Astyanax mexicanus: one gene and its partner. The protein of the gene in region 2 interacts with the protein of the main gene of each other region in a biochemical or structural test. Links are inferred from orthologs where the notes say so. Each region holds a gene or a part of one and is shown on either strand. Other genes may lie near its edges. The genes, in order: prkcq and card11.

The links.
Region 1: of the proteins of card11 (region 2) and prkcq, one has a biochemical effect on the other in vitro, tested with the Homo sapiens proteins (2 studies listed by BioGRID). The link is inferred for Astyanax mexicanus from reciprocal best matches to the Homo sapiens genes CARD11 and PRKCQ.

What each region holds. Positions count from the first base shown.
Region 1 is NC_064409.1:20,909,245-20,913,174, forward strand, and holds the start of prkcq (protein kinase C theta type), read right to left. Parts: upstream 2,363-3,930; 5' UTR 2,217-2,362; intron 1-2,216. UniProt on the Homo sapiens protein: Calcium-independent, phospholipid- and diacylglycerol (DAG)-dependent serine/threonine-protein kinase that mediates non-redundant functions in T-cell receptor (TCR) signaling, including T-cells activation, proliferation, differentiation and survival, by mediating activation of multiple transcription factors such as NF-kappa-B, JUN, NFATC1 and NFATC2.
Region 2 is NC_064410.1:55,733,367-55,737,296, reverse strand, and holds the start of card11 (caspase recruitment domain-containing protein 11), read right to left. Parts: upstream 2,803-3,930; 5' UTR 2,646-2,802; intron 1-2,645. UniProt on the Homo sapiens protein: Adapter protein that plays a key role in adaptive immune response by transducing the activation of NF-kappa-B downstream of T-cell receptor (TCR) and B-cell receptor (BCR) engagement.

The DNA of each region.
Region 1 (3,930 bases), on a different chromosome or scaffold from region 2:
AGAATGGACCACCACAGATCAGCTATTATTATTATTACTATTTGCACTGCAAGTAAGACTGATTAGCATGGTGGTGATATATGAGGTGTTAGTGTGTGTTGTGCTGATAGTATGAGTGACCAGACAAAGCAGTGCTGCTGGAGTTTTCAAAAATATTAATGTTGCTTCTGAACTGAGAATACTCAACCAATCAGAAATATCCTGCCAACAGTGTGAGCAGTGATGAAGGACTAGAGCAGGGGTGCCAAACTCCGGCCCGCTGACCATTTGCGGTCCGCTTCCTTTTTTGGAGCGCCCTGTGAGGTATTTTAGAAATAGAATGAAAGTTGGGCCGCTGTTAAGCAGGTTTTTATAATGTGAGAGTCAAAGTTTGAATTCTAGGTGTCAGAAACGGGCCAAAGAGTCTAAAAGCGGAGAGAGTGCACATTTCTAGCACAGAAAAGGGGCAAAAAAGTCTAAAAGTTGTCAAATTAAGGAGTTTAATATTAAGAGACATCATGAAATGAAACATCAATTTGTAAAATCTTAGTTTACACAACACTGTCAAAGATAAAGATAGTAAGTCAAGTAAAATGGTGTGTAAATGAAAGTAATCAGGAAAAAAGTATTATTTAAAAAAAATGTTTGGACACAAAAAAAAATGTTTGGACACCCCTGGACTAGAGGATGACCAACACTGTAAAAACTGTGCAGCAACAGATTTAGAACACTTGACTCTGATTTCACTTTATCTACAAGGTGAAGCAGATAGAGGTAGGAGTGTCTAATAGTGTGAGTGAACAGTGAGAGATTAAACACAGTGTTTAAAAACTCCAGCAGCACTGCTGTATATGATTCACTCGTACCATCATCAAAATACACACTTTGCAACGGGTCCATCTTCAGAGTCAGTAACCAATACACTTCAAAATAGTTTTCATAGTGTTCAACAGTTCATCTGTACCTTACAATTACAGATAAACACCTGTAAAGCTCCACCAGTCCAAGATATAGTATCCTGCGGGGCACGAAATTATGCCATGTCACCGAATACAAATATCTAGGTATTTGGTAAGATAGCAGCTTATCCTTTGCCACTCATATCACTAAATTACAGTCTAAAATCAGATCTAAAATTTGCCTCCTTTACAGAATGCATTCTTGCCTAACATGCTGTTTTTGCAGGTGGTTGCCAAAAGTTGAGATGAACCATTTGCAGATAATATGTTAATTTTACTAATTCAGGGAAGCAGAACTATTTTTCCCAGATCTTTAAACTTTAAAATGGGTCAATTAGACCCAGAAAATAACAGAAGGGTTAATGATTTGCTGGGTAAAAAAAGGTTTAATTAAAAATTTAAAAACACCTCATACACCTCATACACCTTGATAATCAGTGCTAATCACTGCAGTACTGAGATAAATAATGACCCACCACCCAAAGAATACAGTATCTGCTCTGCGGTGGTCTCTCCTGTGGGGTCCTGATCATTGAAGAACAGGGTGAAAGAATGAGGATAATAATAAAGTATACAAAAAAAAAACAGATACAGAACTACATTCTGTTTTATTACTTAATAAATGACATTCTCTGAGCACCTCAATTGGATATATTATTAAGCATGAACACCATTTTTGTACAAAGCAGGATGCTGCTGCAGATGCTACAGTATGAGAGCAGACAGTGAGGAGCGTTGGGGTTGGTGGAGTATGAAATTTGCCTGTACTGTGTGTGTGGTTTCCTGTAAGTGATGCTGTAGAAGAAAAACATACACTTACTCTAGATAAGCTATACATATGTTTCTGCCTGTTTCATCACCGCTCCTCACTTATGACTTCGACAGCAGTAGCGCGCTCCTCATTTACAGACTCAAGTATATGAAGATATGCTGCGCTAAAGCTTTTGAATATATGTAATATAACATTTGTACAGTCAGTAAACAAGCAAAACTGTTATGGTCAAAACTTTCCGCATAAAAAACATCAAAATATTTCCATATACTTTTAACCAAAAATTCTAACTTTTCCAGAAGCCGTACTTTTTATGCTATAAAGACAAAATTTGGCATAATTAAATTACTAACCATGTAAGTGGTAACCCGTAGCACAATCAGGCTGAATTATGTCTTTGTGAAGAGAGAGAAAGAGTAGACACAGAGAGAGAGAGTGGACAGCATTTAAAAAAAAAGTGAAGAAGAAATTGGTGGAGAATGCAGGACGGAGAATAAAGCACTTACCGGCAGCAGCCTGCTCTAGTTCCAGCTCCCAGTGTATGGCCTGCTGCTGGGGAAGAGGGTGAAGTTCTACTTGGTAGGCGTGTGTAAGCGCATGTATGTGTGTGTGTGTGTGTGTGTATGCGAGCAGCACAGGAGGTGAAGTTTACTTCAGAATAATACCACACTATGCCGGTACGGTTGCTTGTGTCAGTGTGTATACGTGTGTGTGTGTGTGTGTGTGTGTGTGTGTGCGTGACCGCAGTCCGCCCCCAACACACCCGATTTCCTCTCACCAGCAGCAGCAGAAGATAGACAGAAAATATCCAACCTGGGCAACTTTGTGCAGTAACACTCCATCAGTGCTACATATGTTTTGTAACATGTCGAATTTGGCTGATAAAATCCTTTTTGACTGTAATTGTGTTAATTTTTTTTTTTTTTTTTTTTTTATTAAGTGTAATTGCCATCACATAAATGTAAATAACATTAAACAACCAAGGATACTGACATAACCACATACTATGACAGACCTTGGCTTTTGGATTTGTTGCTGATAACAGTCTGGATGGTCCTTTTCATCCATTTCTTCTAAAAAACTAAAATTCAGATGGGTCTGGTATATGTGTAAGGGGGTTGGGGAGCGGTAGCTCTCCAGCCCAGAAGGTTGTAGAATCCAAGTGCAGAGCAGTAGATCTCGAAGCAGGTAAACCCAAGAAAAAAAAGGATAATAATAATAATAATAATAATAATAATAAATATATAATCGTTAATATATATATTAATAGGATATATATTAATATTATATAATATATATATATATATATATATATATATATATAATTATTATTATTATTAAACCCCGCTCCACGCGGGGATCGAGCTGTCGCGGTCGCGGCCCAATGCTCTAACCGCTGAACCAGCGAGCGGATTGGGACGCGGCCGCTTTAATCACTCTTAAGGACCTCCGCCGAAAGGGGTGGAGCAATGAAAACGGGCGGAGGATGAAAACGGGTGGAAAACAAAAGTCAAGCTTAGCGTGAGTGAGAGAGAGGGGGAGAATACGTAACTAAGGATCGCCTGGAAGCGGCTACCTCTTATGGCGCGAGGTGAAGGATTAACTAAAATAAAAGGACTTCCAAAGAAAACAAAACTGAACTAAGGTGATTGTGGATTAAATGCTGTTTCACCAGAGAAGGGAGAAACAGCGAGGGAAAGAGAGAGGGTGAGCATACCGCGTGCCTCGCCTCTGCTACACCCACACACACACACACACACACAGACACAAAGAGAGAGTGACGGCGGAGGAGAGCACACTGCTCTGCTCCACCAGACTAGAGAGGTAGATGGCGGCCGTGGAGCTCACTGCTCTACACAGCTCCACCAAACTCGAAAGGGAAAGAGATAAATATAAAGAGCCGGGGCTCGCTCGGAAAACCGGCATAGATTCGCTCTCACGAGCTTCAAAGATCCAGCGCCGAGTGGCTAGTTGGCGTTGCTTATAAGCTGTTGAAAGCAGGTGTTGATAATTAGCCAATTAGCCCTCGGCGCTGGCCTGGCGCGCCCTCTGATGCCCTGGAGGACACTGAGGCCGGGCCCTTACCAGCCCTTACAATATGTTTCTAATATGTGATGGTTCATTCCAGATTCGTCTGAGTCTTCAGAGAAGTGGACGTTGTTTCTGGACAATACAGTTTGTTGTTGATAAAGGTTGGTAAAGTATTCTCTAGATCATGTG
Region 2 (3,930 bases):
GAAGCACTGCGCCATTAGAATAGCAATGCGCCAGAGGAAAATCAAAGCACATCTGGTTTTTAAAGGGAATGCAAAGTGACAATTTGATTCTGATCTGATTTATTTCACATTACGCCCAAAACCACAACCATTATTAATTAGGAGAATTAGTACACACCTTTTGCATTTTTCAAGATGTGCAAGGTGTACTTTTCCCATCGTTACGATAGCAAAGACACACTGAAATGCCCAAAATCAAGCTGCATGTTGTGCGGTTGACGTCTTGCCTATAGGTCACTAAAATAGAGCCACGTGTGAGCAAACTGAACTTTTTGTTTGGTCATTTTTTGGTTTGGAAAAACATTAAAATAGACCCATCTGTGCTGTGTGTTGTACCATATACAGCAGTAATATTTTGAGACGATAGGAAAGTATGAATAAATGGATTTCGCCCCACCTCTAACTGTAATAAATACATGCAGCTCAGACATGAAACACAAAACTATCAGACTTATGACTAATGTAAAGGCCTAAAAACTTACTGGTGATATAAGGCATTATCAGAATATGAGCAAATATGACATAGAAACATGATTCATGGTGTGTCAACATGCACAATTAATACTGGTTTCAAACACCGCAGACATGTTTCCTGTGAAGAATGCATTTAGATGACTCTTGCAGAGCTCTCCCGTCATCTCCATTGTTTGATGCTTCAATTGTTCAAACAGTTTCTTATAAATATTGACCAGAAACATGATGGGAACAATCTCTGGATAAATGTAGTTTTGTAGTCTAAATAGTCTGTGATTTGTGAGGCTAAATGACTTTGAGAGAGCAGATTTTGAGCAAATATGACAATGAAAATAATGTGATATGATGTGATATGATACAGATTACAATTCAATATAATGTGATACTGTGAATGATGTGATGTTTTGTGATATTTTAGGAAAACATAGTAGTATATGGATTAAACAAATTATCAAATTTTGATCCAATCAGATCAATGGGATCTGAAAACAGCACTAAAACAAAGAGTTTAATCAGAGTTTAAAATACATAATAAAGTAAACCTCTGTCTTCCACCAATCTTTACCATGTAAAATATATATTTATAAAATGTGTTGCAAAGTTGCAGTGTTGCAAAACATATTATCACAATATGCTACCCGTGATAAAGATGAAATCATGATACTTTGAATCTGTGATACTCAATATATTGCAAGACAATTCTCTATAACTATGAAACTTCACAGCATCTGTGTCATTGAAGAGAATAAAATATTCATAAATAAGAAAATACCAGGAATTCTGGATTTATAGGTGGCACATATGATAAAATAGAAAATATAGTGCATACTTTAGCTTACTCTTGTCTCTTTAAACCATATTCACTTCAACTCTTCCAATTGTAGCACTATTCCAATATTGTAAAAAAAAAAAAAAAAAAAAAAAAAAAAAACATGAACTGCCATAAATTAGAAAATATGAAAATAATATGAAAAAGTTCTGCAGGTAGAACACAACCTCAACACAACTACTTCACAAAAATCTTTTCAAATTGTGCAGCATAATCTTTCTGAAAAAAAAAAACAATAATTATTAAAAGAAGAATACACTAAATAAACAATTGTGTCCACAATAGTAATAAACAATAGAGCCCTAAAAATACCGTACCAGTCAAAAGTTGGGACAAACCTTCTCATTCAGTGTGGCTATAAAGGAACACATAAGAAATCATGTAGTAACTTAAAAGTGTTAAACAAACATTTAGATGGCTTATATCTTGGGACTTAGCTTGTTAACTTGTGGTTTCTGATGCTGGTAACTAGGGGTGGGCGATATGGCTCTAAAATAATATCAAGATATTTCAGGGTATTTTTGCGATAACGATATACTTGGCGATATAGGAAAACTAAAATAATTCATTAATTTCAGGAATATAGTATAATAGTATAACAGTATAATCATAATGTGGCAAAATAAATAATATAGCATAAAATAATATAATGCAGCAAAAAATATTGCAGAATATTCAGTGCATGCATATAAACTGCAACTAAAACAATTATACAATAAATACACCTAAAGCTTCACAGTAAATAATAGACTACTTGTAAGACAGAACAGCCCTATTATCACGATATGGATTTTTAATATCATGGTATATCTGTGTCACGATATATTGTATACAATATAATATTGCCCACCCCTACTGGTTACTCTGATTAACTACTACAACATTTGGTGTTTGGTTTACACCACAGAAGATTGTGTAAATTTAAGTCTTTTAGGGGAACTGAAAAAGCACCTATCTTCAAGTCAATCTCAACTCAACTCAAATTCAAACACTCAAAACTCAAAACTGCTCCAACAAGTACTTCAACTCAAAACCCAGCCTCACACACACAAACTTCCAGATCTTCTTAAAGAGCCTAATAACTCGACTAGGACTTCAATTAACTCAATACTTCTCAACTTAACTCAAGTCATCTCAGTTGCACTCAGCTGTGCTCCAGCAGGTGCAGTTTTTAAGGTTCTCAGGGTTTGAGTTGCGTCGCTGCGCAGCGATGCGCGAGCGCTTCGTCCTCCGTCAACTTCTACCAAACTTGTCCACACAGCTCTCTGCTCTAAACCAGTTCTAAAACCAGCCCAGAACTCACCTGTAGAAGATCCGCTCCCACAACTCAGCACCCAGCACACATTCCGGCCCACGAACCCAGAGGAAGGAGAGGTAAAATCTCAGCCTGGAGCTCAGCTCAGTTCCTCCACTTACACAAACCTTACACCTGACCCACACACACTCAGAGACAGCCGGCCCGCCCACACACAGGGGGCGGGGCTACAGGAGAGTCTACTCAAATACATTAACCCTGTAGAGAGAGATGCTCTATAAACATTACAGTTTCTGGATCAGTTTCTCTGATTTTGCTATTTATAGGTATATGTTTGAGTAAAATGAACATTGTTGTTTTATTCTATAAACTACAGACAACATTTCTCCCAAATTCCAAATAAAAATATCGTCATTTAGAGCATTTATTTATTATAAAATGAGAAATGGCTGAAATAACAAAAAATAAAACGCAGAGCTTTTAGATTTTAAATAATGCAAAGAAAACAAGTTTATATTTATAAAGTTAAAAAGTAAAGTTAATAACAGTTTTTTATGCATCTTGGCATGTTCTCCTCCACCAGTCTTACACACTGCTTTTGGTTAATTTTATGCCACTCACTCCTGGTGCAAAAAAATAAGCAGTTCAGCTTGGTTTGATGGCTTGTGATCATTCGTCTTCCTCTTGATTATATTCCAGAGGTTTGGTAAATTTGGTAAAATCATTGAAAACCCAAAAATCAGTGTCTCAGAAAATTAGAATATTGGTACTTTTGGTACTTTTGGCAGTGTGGGCAGTGTGCCAAGTCCTGCTGGAAAATGAAATCCTCGTTTCTATAAAAATTCTCAGCAGAGGGAGGCATGGAGTGCTGTAAGATTCAAGTTTAGATCACGGGGATTAATGTGGAGGACATTTTTTTACGGTTTACTACATAATTCTATATGTGTCTCTTAATTGTTTTCCTGGATTTAATATGAATCTACAATTTAGAAAATAAATGAATTTAGGAACAATTAATTAAGGTGTGTCCAAATGTTTGACTTGTACTTTAAATTTAAAAGTATTATTATTAATAGTAGGAATATTCACTGTAAATATTTCTTGATAATGTTACAGTAAGTTACATACACACATAACATAAAAGAAGTGTATAATTACAGCATATTACTGTATAATAATAGTAATAATAGTAATTTCCTGTTACCAAATGACACCTTTTTTGGGGTATTTTGTAGCATAAATTAATAAATTATAATGCTGTTATTATTTTTTTCAATAAATAAATTATAGTTAACCTTATACTGCAAAGAATTTAATTGTAAATGAACAGTAA